2 linked regions of the Drosophila melanogaster genome follow. Changing the gene in region 2 together with the main gene of any one other region gives a genetic interaction. Each region holds a gene or a part of one and is shown on either strand. Other genes may lie near its edges.

The links.
Region 1: of flr (region 2) and GMF, changing one enhances a phenotype caused by changing the other (phenotypic enhancement), as found in Drosophila melanogaster (one study listed by BioGRID).

Annotation. Positions count from the first base shown.
Region 1 is NT_033779.5:16,297,058-16,305,775, forward strand, and holds GMF (glia maturation factor), read right to left. Parts: upstream 5,898-8,718; 5' UTR 5,717-5,897; coding exon 5,714-5,716; intron 5,555-5,713; coding exon 5,461-5,554; intron 5,395-5,460; coding exon 5,204-5,394; intron 5,149-5,203; coding exon 5,020-5,148; 3' UTR 4,599-5,019; downstream 1-4,598. Other genes in the region: heix (heixuedian), read right to left, coding at 498-1,136, 1,815-2,255; CG17328 (uncharacterized protein), read left to right, coding at 3,254-3,379, 3,436-4,551; c(2)M (crossover suppressor on 2 of manheim), read left to right, coding at 6,295-6,425, 6,505-6,668, 6,725-7,005, 7,065-7,248, 7,303-7,687, 7,740-8,047, 8,106-8,240, 8,298-8,422. UniProt on the Drosophila melanogaster protein: Inhibits Arp2/3-mediated actin nucleation. Together with flr, promotes Arp2/3-nucleated actin filament array disassembly. Promotes debranching. Regulates lamellipodial protrusion dynamics possibly by facilitating lamellipodial retraction.
Region 2 is NT_037436.4:13,405,509-13,416,953, reverse strand, and holds flr (flare), read right to left. Parts: upstream 4,112-11,445; 5' UTR 4,013-4,111; coding exon 3,979-4,012; intron 3,949-3,978; exon of another isoform or gene 3,903-3,948; coding exon of another isoform or gene 3,881-3,902; intron 3,638-3,880; coding exon 3,516-3,637; intron 2,897-3,515; coding exon 2,806-2,896; intron 2,618-2,805; coding exon 2,354-2,617; intron 2,289-2,353; coding exon 1,234-2,288; intron 1,178-1,233; coding exon 1,027-1,177; intron 960-1,026; coding exon 850-959; 3' UTR 501-849; downstream 1-500. Other genes in the region: CG10222 (uncharacterized protein), read left to right, coding at 4,502-5,425. UniProt on the Drosophila melanogaster protein: Induces disassembly of actin filaments in conjunction with ADF/cofilin family proteins. Together with GMF, promotes Arp2/3-nucleated actin filament array disassembly. Essential for organismal and cell viability.

The sequences.
Region 1 (8,718 bases), on a different chromosome or scaffold from region 2:
GTTTAAACAACTTGAAAGCAAATAAAATGTTTCAGATCTTAACATTTGACTATCAAAATATTTGCCAAATAATGTTAATATTTATTTTAAGTATGCATTTGGTTAGAGACTTTTTAGCTTATCCAATTGGATTAAATTCCATTTATGTTTGCACAATGCCTATGGATTATCGTTTGGAAACGAAATAGTAAACTGTTAAGCTGATACTAGGACTGTAATCCGTATTTCAAAATGTCTTACATTAACCATAGGTTTTCTCTCAAGTTAATCGACCCATTAGGGCTAGGATATGTTCAGTTCAAAAGTTTAGAATCAAACGGGCGACTAGCAGCATTCGAAATTTGCGCAACGTCAAACTGTGAGAAGCTGACAAAGCTTCATTCTCCCATCCTTTATGTTACTCACATTGACTAAAACCTAATGAAATTCCCTAAAACATTGCACCAGGTTCTCACTGATTCAGATTTTCCGCCAGATCCGTACGTTTAACCCGTCTATCAATTTCTTCGCAATCCAAAGGTGGGCAACTGATGGGCACAACAGCAGGCCACCACGTACAAGATGCCAAAAAAGAAGTTCAGCTTGGCTGTTTGCCGAGGCACCAGATGCATCGTCTGTTCGTTGCGGAAACGTTTCTCAATCTGGAACGCTTGCGGCAGGGTTACCAGCGGCAGCAGGAACCACAGAGAGTACTTCAAACCGAAGATGAAGAACAATGAGTAGGGTGCAAAGAGCAGCATGGCATACAGAACGTGCGATGCTGTACGGCCTATCAAAATGGCGAGCGTTACGATTCCAGCCCGGCGATCGTTGTCCGCATCCCTTGTGTTGTTGCTGTGCAGGATGGCCTCCGTGTTGAGAGCCAAAGGAATCGCATAGCCCATTGTCGTCCAGTCCAAATGACCTGTTTGCGACATGAAGGCGAATAGCACCGAGATGGGTCCAAAGAGTATCAGTATAACCAGATCTCCCAGGGCGATGTACTTGAAACCAATGCCTCCGGTGTACAGGAAGCTCGAGGACAATCCCCCGAAGTAGATCAGTGCCAGGTGCTCCATTTTCGCCGGACTGAGCACAGCCAGCAAAACAAATCCTCCACAGCCAGCCATGTACAGAATGGCACCCAGCGATACCACCTGCAAATTAACAAATATTTATTATTTATAATTGCGGATAAGGATTAAATCTGCTGTCATGCTGTCATAATTAATTTATGCATATTCCAATTAAATTCCATTATAAAACGGAAAAAATTGTCCTATAGAAATTCGATAAAATTATAAATTTAAAAGTATTATTGTTTGAATACTCTCTAATATATTTGCCCTTGATTTGAATTAGTACCTTGCTAATTGCTACCAATTCTTGATATTGTTTTCGCTTCCAAAATGGTTTATGATTTCGGCACGTTTTTTTCTGAACGTATATAAAACTAATTTAATTTCTGTTCATCTGAAATGTACACACATACACTGAATGCATTTTCAAATATTTTAGGTGTTTAAAATTGTTTTTGTTAATTTAAAAAGAAAATTTGAGAATCTTTGCTTCGCCACTGACAAATTTGAATTTAAATATCACGTTTTGCCATTAAAGATTTAGAAGTGCTCGCGAGTTTCTTTGCATATAATTTGATTTTTCGGAATACTGTATTTGCAAATGTGGAATTTTGGTGAACACGTCAGAAAAATCGAAAAATGTTTGAATTTTACTTTTTTGAAGTTTTACTTTCCGAAGGATAAGAGTAGGCTCTATGCTCTATGGACGGATCTGCACTCTATTGGCTTGATTGATCCATCCGTTCGATTGCTCACCTCATCCTTGGTGAGTATGTGATCCACCAGCGTGCGGTCGTCGGCTTTCTGCTTGTCAATGCCCTTGATGAAGTCGAAATAGGTGTTAACTACGTTGCCGGCGCAGTGGACGGTGACCACGGTGAAGGCGGTGAGAAAGAAGGTGGCCAGCGAAAACTCCTCCGCCCACTGGGAGCGGTAGGCCAGGGCTGAGCCGAGCAGCGTTGGAACCAGACTGGCGGACAGCGACCAGGGACGCAGAGCTAGGAGATAGGTTTTCAGTTTCATAAACGTTCCGGATGTGGATGGGTGTCCTGTTAGTCGTCCCGTTAGTGCTACTCCGGCATCTGCACCTGCTGCACGAGCTCCAACAACGGCTTCCACCTCCTCACCGTCCTCTGTCTTGGTCTTGCCATTCCTGGACAAGTTGCCATTGGGCAACAGCTGGCTGCTTGTGGCCATGGCAAGCGGCACTGGTTAACTGGCACTTTGCGGTGGAGTGAAACGAGACTAGCCGCCAGGTATTCGTATTCGTCGGATTGTTTGACCTTGGTCACCTCCTCTCCAGAATTTGTTTACAATAGTTAAAGTATTCAATTTGTGCCTTTTTGGATGCCGGCACATGCGCTGCCTGGTCTCGATAATCGCTAATATTGTATACACAGCATCTTGAAAGTGGGGAATATATGCGGGGATATGTATATTATCAGCGGGGGGTGGAGAGCTCAGGTGGTCGGGGTCCCGAAACCACGAAATTTCACCCGTGCAGCTCCCAGTTTCTCACGCTCTCTCTCTCTCGCTGCCCCTCTCTCTCTCTCTCTTTTCCTCGACCGGTGCGAGGATCGTTCTTCTTATATGCCTCTCCTTTTCCGGCTGCGTCTTTGCTTCCGGCTATCGATTCCGGGTTAGTGGCGCAAATCGATTTGGCTGCGATTTTACTCTTAGTTATTTTAATCAAACAAATCAACTGTCACGTCACGTCAGCGCAAAAACGAAAAAAGGTTACACTTTTTCGTTGAAGGTGGCAACGCCGTATCGCATGTGCAGCCCTGCCTATTCCTACAGTTTTTACCCAAATTTCATAAATGAAAATAATTCAGATAATATGCAATAAATATTTAGCGGTACATGTATGTGCATTTTTTATATAATTCGTAAAACAAAGGTGGGTTTTAAATATTTATGTAATCATTGTTATCAACACTTATCAACGTAATTAGTAGTTGAAGTAGCTCACCAAAATATTACTATATCTTTTGCATATTTGCGGAAATGAATCCACATTGAGTATGAAATTCATTTTAAACACGCGAAACAAATTTAATCATATATGATAGATTTGTTTCACAAGCTAGAGTTACGACTGTACCGTTGCAGCCCTGGTCCCAATCAGCTGATAGGAGTTTAGAGCAAAATTTTCAATAATTTTTTTGTTGATTTCTATAAAATTGAAATAAAACATGGACTATAATATCCACAAAATATGCAGAGTTTGCCTGGAGGAACTACATCCTGTAACTTCGATATATAGTACAGACTTTGCTATGATGCCCTCCGTAATGTTGATGCAATGCGCTAAAATAAGAGTGGGTTCTAAAAACAAAATATTTCAATGTTAATTGGCATATGGAAATTGTTTTAGGTTTTTAAAACCGATGGCCTACCTTCGGTGATCTGCAACAACTGTATTTACCGGCTGGGGGTGGCCTTCCACTTCAAGCAGGAATGCGAAAACAGTGATCTCCGACTGCGACAATATCTGGGCATTCTGGAATCCTGGCGCCAGGATGCGGCCACCAATACGGACTTTGTGGAGAAGCCGTTGCTTCCGCAGCGCGATAGCGATGAAGAGGAACCCGTGGATGCCAAAGTGAGCAAGAGGCGGTCGCGCTATCAAAGAAAGCCGCCAGAAGAGCACAAAAAACGGGGGCCCAAACCTGTGCCAAAGATGCCCCACACCTGCTACGAGTGCCACAAAAGCTTCAAATGCATTGCCCAATTAACACAGCATATAAGAACACATACTGGCGAGAAACCCTACCAATGCAGCTTTTGTATCCAGAGATTCGCCCAAAAGTACAATCTTAAAGTCCACGAAAGAACGCACACGGGCGACAAGCCTTTTCAGTGTGAGATCTGCTCAAAGCAGTTTTCCGCGTTAGGCAATTTCCAGGCGCACCAGAAGATTCATTTAGGAGTGCGGGATCAGGTATGCTCGCTATGTCAGAAAGGTTTCTACACCGCCGGTGATCTCTCCAAGCACATGATAACCCATACGGGCATCAAAAACCATCACTGCGATGTCTGCGGCAAGGCTTTCAGCAGGCGAAGAGATATGCGGACTCATAAATTGAAGCTTCATCCTCTGGAGTCCAGTACAAACCATGATATAGTGGATGATGATGATGATGAGGCTATAGACACGGATCCCGTGGGTCTGGACACCCTCGATCACGCCCACTTCAAGTGTCCGGATTGCGACAAGGCATTTGATACGGCGGACAGCCTAAGTCTACATTTTCGCACGCATGCGGCGAATAATAATCTACTGAATTTGCCGTTGCCTCCTGCACCACCTATGTCGCATCACTACCATCACGATGCACTGCATCATCTCGGCCCACCGAATCCCGCCACACAAATGGGAATGGCTGCAATGGCTCACATGTTGGCACCGCCGCCGCCTCCACCGCCAACGCCAAGTGAAGGACGTTACACTATGCTGCACCACACGGCGGCACAAAGACTACATTATTAGAGTATAGCTACGAAGATTTATCTTAATCATAATTATTGTTTTAGATTATGTTTTGATATTGAACACTTTTATTTAGTTTGTCTATATAAAATGGAATATTTTGTCATGTTTGCTTTTATATCTTTACAATAAATACATGTAGAAATTTGGCAAGCACAGCTTCTATTAAGATTATTACTTAAATGCAAGAACTAAAATCACTAAAAACTCCCCGCGCGTACTTGTCGCATACTTGTCGTCGATATAAAAATGTCATTGTTGTATAAACTAAGCTTGATTTGTGTTTTCTGTAGGTAAAAATTGTAGTATCTCAATATTGGTTTGTTTGGTATTGGTATGCATCGTTGGTATCGGCTTAATCCAGTTTGAATATGTATATAAAAAGCTCAAAAATCAATCAGAGAACTATCATAAAATATTGCTTTTGACAACGGCCCGGATTGATTGATCCCAGAGATCGAAACCTCTCTACTTGAGCTTGGCTTTCAGCCACTCCTCGGTGAGTTCGTCTAGTTCGCGTATCTCGTAGACGCGTGTGAGATCTACTTCGCGCTGAAGAGCGCTCTTCGTGCAGGCGTACATCATCTGCAATTCGATCTGAAACAGAGAGTTATGAATTATAGAATATATTTGAGCATTGCTAAACTCCCACCTGGCTATCCCTGGGTGTGTAGAATATGAAGCACATTGGGTACGAAATGCGCTGATCGTCATGGACCATTTTATACGTATAGATGACATATCGGGGCTGGTGTCCTGGCAATGTATCCTGCAGCTCGTCCACCGAAATATCGTCGATGAACTCGTCCAGCACCACCGTTTGCTTCTCCCGGTCGACTTTCACTGCAAGGGACAATGGAGTGGTCATAAAAACTACACACATCTGTTACCATGACAATCAAGGCTTACATATCAAAGCCGCATTATTTTTGCTCTTGCTGAATCGAAACTTCTTCAATTCCTCCAGAACTTCGTTGCTTATGTCGCATATCTGGTTATCACTCTGTATGAAATCGATATAATTGATTAATGAATTGGAATCACCAAAGTTATCTGCTAACAACAATCGTCGATTGAAAAACAAAAACAAAAACACGCCCACACTCTATTAGTCATGTTTTCATTTTGGTAATTGATTTCCGACCCTATATACACTTCCTACCATAACTTTAGCTATGAAGTTAGGGATGCGATCTGTAAAGTGTGCTGCACTACCGAATTTTTGGCAGTTAATTGTAGGAATGCAATATCACTTGTCCTTAAGGAATCGTTTAAATACTGTCGTTTATTCTGAGTTTTGTTTTGTTGTTCCTGCAGTGAGACCGTTCACTGAACGCCAAATAATATTCTGTGCTGCATCAAAAATATGTGAAGTGTTGTTAAACGACGTTTCTGATAAATTAAAAAATAATAACAATATTTGCTAAAGGTTTTTTTTTCATTAAGCTTTTTTCTTTACGGCAACATTGGTATTATTTATGGAATTTATTAAAAATAATTGAAATGTATTTTTTAGATTGAAATAGGAACGCTCTTTTTTAAAAATGTTTTGTAGATATACTTAAAACTTATCATTATTTTATAGTAGGTAAAAATCGTTCGTATACGATATTTGGATCATGTTTGTCCTCTCTAGTGGCTGATGGACTGTCAAAAAAGTACCGTTACTTTAGGGTTGTTACAGAGAGCACTAACTTATAAATAGTTAATACTATAATCTATGTGCTTAATGTCGTAGTTACAATGAGCTTGAATTTATATGAGAGCAACATCCTTAATTCCTGCTGGAAAGCGGGAGGGCGCAAACCGAGGAAATCGGCATTTGGCCAACTTAATCGAAATGAGATCGCTGATGTGGATGTAGTCGCCTGCTGGTAATTAAATATTAAATATAATGAATTTTTTTAACATTTCATTATATTCAATTGTTTTCAACATTTATCTACATTTCAGCAAGCAAATCACCGAATTAATTGAGGAAAATGCATTAAGAAAACGCCAGAAACGATCCAATGTTTTGGCCGCAAGAAACCGGCAAAATGTTATTTTCAAGGACATTTCCCGCTTGGTTTTTGGAGTTGCGGATATTTTTAGATGCCAAGTGGATCTACTTTTGGGTAAGTATTAGTCCGAATATTACGTAACATTGATATATAATCACGAATTCTTACAGGGGACACGAAGGTATTACTTGACCAATGTACACGTACCAACTTGGATTACGTTCTCACCACAACAAAATCCGTAGTGGTCAACAAATCAGAGATTCGAATCCAACGCAAAGGAAAGCGGGTGATCACCAAGAAATCTAAAGTAACAGTATCAAAACGTCCCAGACTGCAGGAATCGGATCTATTGGATGAATTCTCACATGAATACTACGAGAAGATGCTATCCGAATGCCAGATGTGGCAAACGGAGTGCACACAACAGGTGGTGGAGGACCTGAACGAGGTTAGTCGTCAATATACTGTTGGACTGCTTCCTTATATGATTTCATTTTTCGCAAAAAGTCTATTGAACAACCCCGGAGTTGCACTCAGTCAAAGTCGTATCATTCCATTACAATCACCGAAGAGATTGAACTTCCCGAAGATCATAGCTTAATTATGCCATCAAATGGTTTTGGCGAAGCCGAGGGCGCGGACTTAACCATTTTTCAAGAGCTTTACCCCAAAGATGGCACACGGAACTCACGTAAGAATTCTCAATTCAATTGAAAATGTAATAAACTATTTTTTTGTATTATAGTAAAGCGACACTCAATAGCTCAGGATCCAACTGACATCTTACCGGATAAAATGCCCAGATTGGATGATTGCGATGTTTTCCAAGCTGACAATGCTATCATGACCCAAATCTTTCCGCATAACATTGAACCAGCTGAAGTAACTCAGATAGTTTGTGAACCGTCGTTGCCATCCGTTTTAAATTCTTTTGGAGAAATAACATTTAGCCACCCGAAAAATCGGAAAAGAAAGCTAATAGTAGACAAACGAATTGAATACACCCGGGAGCAGCTGGTGAAGCATAGACAGAAATATATGGAAGAATACCTTTCAAGGAATGTGATAGTGCCAAAATCCTCGGATTTACGGAAACCCCCTAAGGAACTTCTCTGTAAACTGTATAATAAGTAGGAGCCTTATACATTTTGCTATTTAAAACTTTTTAATTTTTTGATGTAGTGTAAGTTTTTTAGCTCTTCATAACCACTCCGGACCTAAGCTCAGTAATGAAGAAAAGGAATTCGAGGCAGAAAACACATTGAGAACCATATTTGGCTGCGAGTTTACCGAGAATCTTTCTAAAGAGATATTTGTGCGACCATCGCAGGCTACAAAATGTAGGGATAAAGCGGCACATATCTATCAGCCCGAACCGCTTGAAGTGGAAGACTGTGTGCAACCTCAACTTCAGCCACGTGATGATGTAAATCAGAATTATCATAATGAAATGAATGAGCACGGCATATACCGTGAGGATAATCATGATGGTGAGTTCAGCCAATGTTTACAACATGCTATCGTAAATAAAATATAATCTCATTGCAGATACCTACAGCGTAATGATGAGTCTCTTAAGCATTTGGCGTAATAATCCGAAAATCACGGGAATCGATGCCATTGATTTTATAAAAACGTTTGATAGTCGCATCAAGGCTTCGTTAGCCTTTCTCCATTTGTTGTGTGAGTTCGAAAAAGAACAAAATGTGTGTTGGAAATAACGTATAGCTTAAATTTCAGATCTTGTTCGAGACCATTTTATAGAGATATCAAAGCGAGCTAATTCGCTGGAAATGTACCAAATTACTCTTGGCAAAGAGTCCGCTAAGCTAATAGACAATCTTATGCTGAGTGAGACTCTGTGAATATTTTTAGATAATTTTTTTCAAGATTACCAAACAACTTTGTAGTTGACAATCTTCCACATTTTTGTTGTTGTTTTGTTTTCTGTTATTGCTATTGTGTTATAACATATAAGTTGAGCCAATCTCTAACCTAGATGGCTTTAATCTACTCTTTTTCCATACAATCTTATGGTACAATTGAGCAACGATGTCCTGGATAATTCGTTTCATTTCAAGAATTGAAAAATTCTATAGATGTTACTTGTTGCTGTCTATAAAAATAGTTTTTTTTTCATTATCATATTAGTTTCGTGTAC
Region 2 (11,445 bases):
CCAATTTTCATCACCCACTCATGAGGTGCCCAACATATGAATATGTCAACTTTTAGTCCCACCGAAACCAACGTCTTAGACCCGGCTGTGATAATTAGCGCAATTCGTTTTTCGTCTTCTGCACTCGAGCGCCTTTCTAGCTATCTTAATTTATGTACTTACGTTTAGCACAATTTACGTTTATTTTTTCTGAAACTTTAGCAACCTCCGAGGCTCTCAAACTGCAAGTTACAAACACAATCCTTTCGCTTTCACGCTCTCTCACAAGCACACGTCCACACATTCTAGTAATCTAAGCCAAGTTTTTATAAATATTGTAATTATACACCTGAACACGCACACACACTTGCACACAAAAAGACAGGGTGAAGACCTACCAAACCAAAAAAAAAAAAAAACACAATTTTCAAAGGAATAAATGTTTAAGAAGCCAAAGAAATTGTGCGTGTTTAGCTAATTTTCCCGATCGCAACCAAATGGAGAAAAGTAATCGGCGAGCTATGCAAAAACTAGTATATTTCATTTCATAATACAATAATTTATGTACGCTGGCGTACTTTACATATCTTTGTGTTTCCTTTCGTAGTTCGTAGTTCCAGTAGTATAAAAATTGTTCGAAAAACACATACGAAAATGATAGTGGGGCAAAGTAGTTGAATATCCATGATATGATGATTAGCAAACACTTTTGGCTTAAAATTAAAGACATGACATGAGGTGTGCGGGGAGGGCGGGGAAAAAGACATAAATATCTAAATGTAAACTGTTGCACTTAAATGAAATGAAGCCAGGGCGCTGCTGGCTGCTCTCCCTGGATAAGTATAAAAATATGCTTCACGGCCGGCGCATTTAAATGTTTTCCACGTGCCACACCTTGGTGTTGCAGTCCTGTCCGGTGGAGATCACAGTGTTATTGTCCAGCCAGACCAACCGAGTGATTTGCGACTGCGGATGGGCATCTGGAGTGGGCAGAAAACAATATGTCAGATATCGCTTAAAGCTTACTACTCTTTTTGAAATACTTACTCTTGATGATAGTATGTTTGGCCGGATTGGCCACGGACCAGATAATGATAGTAGTGTCCAATGATCCACTAGCAACCAGCAGCGAGTTGGGCGACCAGGCCACCGTATTTACGCGAGCACTGTGGAAGCCCCACTCCTTGTTGTGTGCAGGCTTTTAAAATACACTCGATTAGTAATGGAATTAAGACATTTATGATTCCTTAATACCTTGTACTCCTCCACTGAGTAGAGCACCACCTTGCGATGGGCATCGCAAGCCACCAAATACTTCAAGTCCGGCGAATAAGAAACATCCGTGACAGCTCCCAAGTGATCCAGCTCCACTTTGGGCTCCAATACTCCGCCCTTCAGGGTGTAGATGTGCAACTTTTGGTCATCCCCGCCGACAGCAACATCGGAAGTGTCCGCATTAACGGCAATCGAGCTAGCCTCGTACTTAATGGGCAGCGAAAAGATCTTCTTCTGGTCCTGCACGAGAGTCAACTCTTTGATGCAAGCAAGTGCAATGATGTTCTCGTTGCGCAAAATGGCCAAGCCACGTGGCTGGCAGTTAAGCTTCACCACATAGTCCGTGTAGGAGTTGCCCTCCACGCTGAACTGGCGTAGGCTGTCGTCGATGCCACAGGTATAGACAAAGTCACCCCAGGCGGCAATGCCGTTGATCTGGTTTCCGTGTCCAGTGCCCGTGATGCGATCGTTGGTGCCGCTGCCCGAGTTCCAGTTGGTCACCACGCCATCGTGGCTACCCGTGTATATGGTGCTGCGGTCATCGCTCAGTCCCAGCACGGTGATGGGCTTATTGTGGCCCTTCACCACACGCAGCGGTTTCGAGGGATCCGCCACATTGAGGTAGGTGATCACGCCCGAAAGCGAGACGGTGATTAGGTTGTCTCCTTGCCACAAGCAGGACACCTGCTGGTCGTCCACAGTGGTGCCCATCACAAACTCGCTAACCAGCTCGCGCGACTCCACTGTCCAAAGGCGGCACGTCTTGTCGCCGGAGCAGGTTAGCAGTTGGGTGCTGTCTGGTTTCCAGGCCAATGCGTAAACGCCGCCCTTGTGGGCAGGAGATCCAAATTCGCCCACCAGTTCAGAGCTGGTGCCATCGTACAGAAAGACTTTGCCATCAAAGCCGGCGGAGGCGAAGAATTTGCCATCGGGCGAGTAGCGCACAGCCTGGACGAAGCGAGAGTGATCCTGCTTGGTCATCTTGAACTTGAACGGGGGTCCCTCGAACACGGCGATAGTATTGTCTTCGCTGCCTGTAATAACAAGTGTGTGTGTGTAAGTAAGTTTATTGCATTTTGGGACTATTATGTGAACTCACCCGTAACAATGCGGAATGGCCTGGCTGGCCGGAAGTCCGCCGAGTTAATAGACTTGGACTGGCCACTGATCTCGCCCACAGACGTGCCGGTTTCAGACATAAAGACATGACCGAAACGTTCGCGTCCTTCACCCACGGCAACGATGCGCTGATTGTCTGGCGACCAGCTAATATCCTTGATGGGTCCTGCAATGGGCTGGAACTCATTTTTAAGCAGGTGCTCCTTGTTGACCGTGTCCCAAATGCGAATCTTGCCGGAGGCGTCTGGTGAGAAGAGGAGAAAGCCAAATAAATAACATTGCTCGCTTCAAAACCGCAGATAAGATAAAGAAACCGCTCCAAATAAGGAAATGCTAATCATGACCGTGGCGTGACTCATAGTGGTCACGATTTTTATGCTCTGTTGCCGAAAGCCGGGTGCTCCAAGTGTGAAATTGCTGGGCGAGACTTACCACCAGATGCAATATAAAATCCGCTGGGCGAGTACTTGGCCACGTTCACTGCACACGAGTGCTCCGTGTAGACATCGGCAATGGCTGGATTCTATGGTGCGGAAGAAAGGGAAAAGCATACATACATATTTTAGAGACACTTTTAGCAAATTAAAACAAATTAATGGTAAATGGGATCCTAATTATGAACATAGGTGTTTGGTTTTGAATTTGTTATGTATGTTTCCTTCATTAACATTTCATTTTCCAGAACCTGAATATCTTTTGGCGGAAGATTTTATTTCTTGATCATTAAAGATACCATAGAAGTGGCGGGATTATCGGGACAAAAGACAAAGAAACATGGAAATATTTTGAATTTATACCGATTCAATGGGTGAAAGATAGGCAAACACATAGCTGCTGTGAAGAATCACTTTGACCAGATGAAAACATCATAATGATGATGCGTGGGCGGCAAACAAGAAATGTATCTATGTGCCAGTCTGTGTTTTGCCGGTTGGCCTGTGGAATGGGAATCTGTGTTTTGCGCCTTATATACTGTACATATATATATAAATAAATATAGAACAGCTGCCCGAAAGCCAGAAAGCACACACAAACTGGCAACAGAAACTGCAGCCTGTCCAAAAATAAAACACCATTTGGACGTAAATGCCATGGATTTATGGCAGGAACGGAGCAGCAGGCTGCAGCATATATCAGCTTACCTCGATGTTCCGGATGATCACAGAGTTTCCATTGGTGTACAGGAAGTTCTTGCCCTTGGGATCGGCACCCAAAACGATGGGTTGGCCGCGTTGGGTGCGCGGCAGAGTTGCGTAGATGTTTTCTGCAATTAAGCGATTATTTCGATTAGAAATGGGCTGTGACTGCTGCTACTCAGATAACGCCGGCAAATTGGAGTGGGTGGAAAATAGGGTGCGGCTTCGTTTTTGGGGAGCGAACGGGAACGGGGTCGCTCCAACGGCTCCACACGCGCCTCCTCTTACTGCTTAAAAAGGTCTTTCATATGCATCTATGCCCATTTATGGGCATAATCACGGTGCTTCCGGCGATTGCTTTCTGCTTTTACCGTTTTTCGCCTGTTGACTCATCCCCCTCTCTACGTATCACATTCGGAGTGGGATCGGATTCATGACTCCAGTTTATCTCTGTGGGATTCCAACTCACTGTTTTCGTACGCCGGTGGTTGGGGTTGTGCCATTCTGGTGATTTCTCGGTGCTCCTGAAGCCTTTACTAATTAGTGCGAAATTCCGCGGATAAATGAAAACACCAAACTCAAGTTCGCCGACGATTAGTGGTGGGCTAAGATCGATGTTTTCACCATCGTCGTCATCGATGGTTTTTTCTTTGCTTTATATCGACTTTGCGCTGCGTTTACCCCTTTTTAACAGCGAAGTGAACTGGAAGGAAATTAAAAATATATTGTTCTGTGTTTTATACTAACAGTAACTACTAATTGCTACCGTTTTTAATTATACACTAAAAAATTGTTTTTTTTTTTGGGATTGAGTTTTCAATTTCCTATATTTGAAAAGGAAATATATAATCAAAATTGTATTTTTATCTAATTTAATAAAATGTATATTTTTCAAAAACTATCTAAATATCGATAAATTGCGCCAAATAAATTAATCGGTCTCTGTGGTTCCCCACCTCTACCATTGTTTATATTTTTCATTTTCCGCAAGAATGATGCAAAGATTTCCGACGCAGGCGACCGTGGAGAATCCACGTTATGGACAGCTAATCATAGGACCTCCTGGTTCTGGGAAAACCACCTATTGCGGTGAGGCCCTTAAGTTCTATCGCGAACTGGGCCGTCAGGTGGGCGTTGTGAATCTGGATCCAGCCAACGAAAACATGTCCTACGAACCGGTGCTAAGTGTGATGGAGCTAATCACTGTGGAGGATTGCATGGAGCACCTGAAGCTGGGACCAAACGGAGCTCTAATGCACTGCGCTGAGTATCTGGCCGACCATTTGGAGGATTGGCTGTTGCCGGCACTGCGCAAACTAAGCGCCACTTACAACTACTTCCTGTTCGACTGTCCCGGCCAAGTTGAGCTATATACCCATCACAACGCTATGGCCCGGATTTTCGAGCGTTTGGAGCGTGAAAGATATAGCCTGGTCACCGTTAACCTTATAGATTCCCATTACTGCTCGGAGCCTGCCAAATTCATTGCCACTTTGCTGATGGCATTGAACACCATGTTGCGGATGAGTCTACCCCACGTTAATGTGCTTTCCAAGGCCGATCTGCTAAAGAAGCACGAGACCAAGTTACACTTTAACGTGGACTATTATACGGACGTCCTGGACCTCAAGTATCTGCTGGACAAACTGGACGATGATCCCGCCATGCGCAAGTATCGAAAACTGAATGCAGCCATCTGCTCCATGGTGGAGGACTACGCTCTCGTTTCGTTCCAACTGCTGGACGTCTTCAGCACGGACAGCATGCTCCGCTTGCGCAATCACATCGACAAGGCTAATGGATACGTCTACAAGGCAGGTGAGGAGCAGACGGTCAACTCACTACTAGCCTGCGCCGTGGGTGCAGAAACTGAGGCCGCTCGCATGGAGCATGATGTCCAACCCTATATGGAATAAAAGAACTGAAACTAATCGAAAATAGCCTGTGATATTGTGCATTGTATTTCGAAAATAAGTTATACAAGTCGAGAGTGAGGGATTAAGGTACGGAATGAAAAGCAGTGATTTTTTGGATTTATTAAAATATTATCTCGGCTTGAACTCTTAAACTTTTTTAGTTGTTTTTCTAACCACATATTTTTAAGAGGAAATAAACCTTTAAAGTTGTTTAAATACATTGCAATAAGAATGGTTGATAATCACTTGAGGATCACCTAATCGGAAAACACCAAGAGAACTCTACATTTGAACTTGGAAAATCCAGACCACCACTAGATGTCGCTGCAAACGTTAAAACGTATGATGTATGTAAAATTTTACAGATGTACAGAATTGTACGGGTTTGAATTCAGAATTATTAAATTAAATTTAATAAAAAAAAATACAACAAAAATCATTTCGTTTTGTTTTGTTTTTGGGCTTTGTTGACTTTTTCAGAAAATATGTCAAATGGAGAAAATTGTATTTATATAAATTATGATTTTAAGAATATCCTTTGCTAGGCGAATAAAAATTGACAATTGAACTGATCTAAAATATCAATAAAGAAACTTATACTAAATAATAACTTATTACATAAGAACAGGTATGAATTTCGAAGTCTGGTAGATCTCATCAAAAAGACCCACGTTTCTCGGTAAATTAGTTAGGCTTCAATCAAACAAAAGCGTCCTTTTTAGCATACAAAAACCAAAAGTTCAACTTGAGTCGAAAAGGATCTGCATCTGAACCCTATACTTTGATTTAACTAAAAGCAAAGTCCTCGTTAACATAAATAAAAATTAATTAAGTCCGAGGCGCGTTGTTTTGCGAGATAAGAGCTGGAACGACCGGTGAACATCTCGTGGCAAGCTGCAAATTGTGGCACGTGCACCACAAAACGGGATTGCCATTGACTCCTATACCACGACCAAGTCGTGAGCACTCGGGGGCTCCGTCTTGCAGACACGGGAAGACGCGTTGGGATATAAAAAAGCACCAGGAGTCATCTTATTTTAAGCCGATTCGTGAATCCCCTTTTGCGGGTAGCTTTTATTTAATGAAGCGAAAAAGTTGTTTATTAAAAACCAGCCAAGTTATGCTAATTTACGCTTGTTCTTAAATCTAAAAAGGAGTTATGGATCTTCCTTATACATGTTTAAATGATACGCTTTAGGATTTAAAACTCTTAAGGGCTAAAAAAGAATAAAGAGTTTTAAGAATTTATTGGATTTCTCACCAAAGAATGAGCGTTTACAACAAATCATGAAAGATAAATTTGCTGTATAGCATTGATTATAAAGATATTTAAAAGCCCTCTGCTTAAGCTGGTGGCTCCTCTTTGTAGGGCATAAGAAAACAGCGGCAAAAACGAAAACAGTTATTAAATGCAGCAGGCTCTTGTCAGATTGCAGCAGGCTGGCTGCCAATTCCCCAGTCCCCATTCCCATTCCCAATCCCCCAAAGCACCGATCCCCTTGACCGCAAGCCAAATTAAAATAAACGAAAGTGGTTTCGTGCCAGGACGAAGTGAGTGGGGCTCGGATTCGTTTTGCCTTTGCGATTTGTGTAAAGCAGCGGGCTGCGGTTTCTTGTTTTTTTGGCACACGCTCTGCAGGATAATTCGTCGCGTCCTCAAAAGCCATAAGTGCGATCCCCTGCGATGTAAGCGCGTCAGGCTAAACAGTTAAGCGACCTGGCTTGTAAGAGCGCTATTTGGTTTTGCTTTCCAGGCCAGTCCTGGCAACGATTGCGGTCAAAAGACGCGCGTCCTGTTCCCGAAAAGCAGGTGCACACCAGCAGCGGCAGTCGGGGAAAAATGTGCCAGCTAAGCAACCGGAAAAAAATAAAGGAGTTTCGGCTCTAAGGGCATAGGACTAGGAGATGACCTAGAAAACACGAAGTACGGAACTATTAACAAGAATCCCTTAATTTAAGGAGTTTAAGTTAATCACTTCAATTTATCCCATTTAACGTTTAATAAAGATAAATAAAAGAATGTTTCAAAAAAAAAAAACATCGTCCGAAAACGTGAGGTATAGCGATTTTCATATCAATTGGCCACGTTCTTGGCCAGTTCTTATCACTCCCCTCATACGCTCGCTACACCCATCATACCCCAACGATACCCTGTGCACCCCCATTCCCTATTATTACACGGTATAAATGCCTAAAAAAACAGCCCAAGTCAAGTGGGCATCTAGATACGAGTAGAATTCCACCTAGGGAGAATCGAACTCGGCGAGGGAATACACAATATTTGATTGATCTTTTTACATACTCGAGAGAGAAGGGCGAGATATGGGCAGATTGGCGGGCCCATGTGGAGGATAGGAAGTGAGCCGCCGATCCGAAACCCAGATCGTAGGTAGGCCGGGTATCCTGCGTATCCTGCGTCAGTTGTGCTGAAGCCGCAGCAAGAGGAGTAAAAATGCCATATGCTGCACTTGAAGCGCAGGCAGCAACCAGCAAGCAAAGGCATCGGCCAAATCATTAACTTAAGGTTAACGGTTGCCCCTGCTGCATTGTCTTCATCCCCGAAACAAAAAGCGGAACCAAATGCTCAATCTTGACCGGAACTGTAATTTGATCGAACCCGCGCACAGATATTAGATACGATAAGATCTTTCATCTCCCAGCAGCAGCAGCTTTTTCCTGTCGAAAATTATAAACTAAGCTCCACTAGATCGAGATTCTTTAAAGAAACCTCTCCGGGTTATTCACCCGACCGCGATCATATGAGATCGCCCAACAGTTGCACATTTTTGGGTCCTTTTTCGTATTTTTTTTTTTGTTTTTCCCTTGCTGTTGCTCATTTCTTGCCTTCCCTTAGTACCTGAGTTCATGAATCGCCTTTCGGGTTTTGGATTCGGGATCGGGGCGCGTGCCTGCTGTCGTCGTCGTCTTCGGTGGGTTTTAAGTCCTCAGGTTCGGTGTATCTGTATCTGTGTATCTGTATTTGCAGCGAGCACATGACGCTGCTCACCACTGTGTTGGCCCTTTGCACTCTGTTGGCTTGAGTTTACTGGCTTAAACTGTAATTCAGGACGCTGCTTATGCAAATATTTTGATCGTATGCCGAGACGAGAACAGTTGGAAATCAACAGGATGGGAAAGTAGTAAGCTTAAGAGAACGAGAATGTTTTGAAAAAAACCGTTCTTTACTACAGGGATACTCGATTTTGTGCATTTATTTCGAAAAAAAGTTATACAAGTCGAGAGTGAGAGATTAAGGTACGGAATGAAAAACAGTGATTTTTTGGATTTATTAAAATATTATCTCGGCTTGAACTCTTAAACTTGTTCTATTTGTGACTTAACCCATTCGGGAAACCGAGCAAACTCATAAATCAGCTCCAGCATTTCCCCCTTGCTCAAGTTTGTTACCATCGTTCATATGAGACGCGTTGACACTTATGAATTGCTTGGCAATTTAAGCGACAAGACACCCACTACCACTAAAAAAAAAACACAGAAAGAATCTGCACAGAGATTAAAATTACGATTTTAGTAAGTTGCTATTAAAAAAAAAAGTTTTTTAGGAATACAAAATATAGAATTCGATGTTGAACTCAAAAGACTTACTTTCTGTTTGGAAAAACAGAGAAAGAAAGGACAAAATAAATATAGTATCTATAAAGGTATATTGTAGGAACCATAAGGTTCAGAGATCGAAGTTACTTATTCGGAATCGTATTTTATTGTGCTTCCCCATAGCTTTCCCATTATTGGCCAACTATTTTACAAGTGTAATGGCAGCACCACACGTAGCATTCGCGGACGACAATTTACACCGGGTGCTAGCCTGGAAGCCAAGTTACTGAGATGCGGCTGGCGCCGACTTTTCGCCTTGAATGGGTCGCTAAATCAAGCAATTATGAGGGCCTTTGTCGCAACTACATACGTACGAAGTACCGAGGTTCCAAAGTACCAAAACATATGCAAATCAGCCGACCGACGACCAGTCGAGAGATGAAAGGTCTTGGGTCTGCCGGAGATAAAGGGAAATCTGTTCAGGGCCAATGAATTGATTTTCCTGCGCCCATTCCCATTCGACTGCCGCCTGACTTACGCGACTGACTGGGCCTAGTTTATCGGCCAACTGCCACGCCCCCCGCCGCGTTGCGCCCCTTTGGGCCCTGCCACACCGCATACATGCAAAGCAAACCGCCAAAGTCAAAAGAGAGTTTCGGGAGCTCGTTTTGGTGCCGCAAAGCATCCTCGGCTGCTGCGGCGACTGCGTAGAAGCCGCACGCCACATTTCAATGATAAATGTTGCCCAGAGTCCAGTAGCAGCGCCAATCGCACACTGGAAACAATTGTGGTGTCATTTGCGGCAATAAGGGCGATATACATGTATTTGAAAAGTATAGACAATGTGCATATGAAGCTGTATTATTATTAAAAAGAAAATACATATTTGAAAGACTTTCCTGAAGTATTTACCTAACAAAGTTCGTATCGATTATTGTAAAAAGAAACAATATTCTATTGAATGTCCATTATTAAAAGCAAGCATTAAACATCTTAATATGGAAAATTTCATTGGAATATTATCCAATTCCACCGGTAACTCATCGCTGGCTTATTCTTTTATTTCCATATATGATGGAACATGTTTCAAGCCCTGATTTTGCTCAGTGCCATGGGAGTCTGATGCCAGGTTAACCAGCAGATTGCTCTTGGGCCGAGCGCTATTTTGGGTAAATTGTTTTATTGCAGTTCAATTGTTGGCCGAGCTTCAGCTCCTTTGGGCTTGTTTGCTGCCTGGGATCTTGTCAAGCGGCGCTCGTTGGAGGTCCCGAAGCGAAACAGTAGCCGCAGTTAGCAGCAGTAAATTACCGTCTTTACTGAAAGCATTACGGCTTCATCAAGTCGGATGACCAATGGAATGATATCTATGTGCCATTTTCGACTATAATTTGTATATTCATATAAATATACAGGTTTGGAATATATGTAGGTTAGTAATGGGTTCATTGCTAAACTTGTATACATTGTTTAAAGCCTTATTATTGCTTTGTGGTATACTATAGCTGCTTGAAATTATATTTAAAGTTCCCTATGTAAAGTTCCCAATTTCAGGGCATCCCACCTTCTGCAGGAAGCCAAGCGATTCAGCTTCCGTTCTATCTGTTTGCATCTTGCGGCGCTGCAGATAGCCGTGGCTTCTCTCCCATATGTCTAACCGAAAGCGGAGATTATGGCATCATTTGGAGGTCTTGTGAAAAGTTAATAAATGGCTTATCTCCGACGGGGACGACATGTGTTTGGCTTAATTGTATCAGCGTGTGGGTTGCCGCTTGCATTTCGAAAGTCAGTTCTACTGAACTTTCGCACAGTTCGGCCACAAATGGTCAAAACGGCCCAATGCCAATGCAGTTCCAGAGGAAGGAGAAGGCACGAGAAGGGTAAAGGTATCGTAAGTTAACCATTTGCCTGCTAATTACGACAAACGACAAACGGCGTTCAACTGTCAGAGATTTGTGCGGGCGAGACCCCATGTCGGTACCTTATTTGTATCCCAAAAATAGTTGTGGTGGCGCCACCAGCCACTCGAAGGGGCTTCCAAAAACACAATCCTAACAAGCCACCAACATACTCGTAGTACGCGAGTGAGAAGTCGCTGGCCCGATTTGTTTGGCCTCCTCCACTTGGGCACCACCAAATAAGGCAGGCCATTGGAATTCAATCTTAAGGCCATTAGCAATTAATATCAAATGAAATTGAAATAAATTTCATTTGGCCACCTAGCATCCAGAACGAGGTCCCCCAATCCGCATTACCATACACATTCCCAGTTCGTTTTCCATGCGGCACTCGCTGATTTTCATCATCATGCGAAAGGGGGTCGGGTTCGCCCCCTTACCCCTTTCGCAATGGTCAGTTGGGGCCACCGCAACGGCAACAGCAACCTTTTGGCTTTGGGCTAATCGCCCATCGAGGCTCCTTTGGCCAGAAGAGAGCCAACCACGGTCAACAACAATAATTTTATCAAT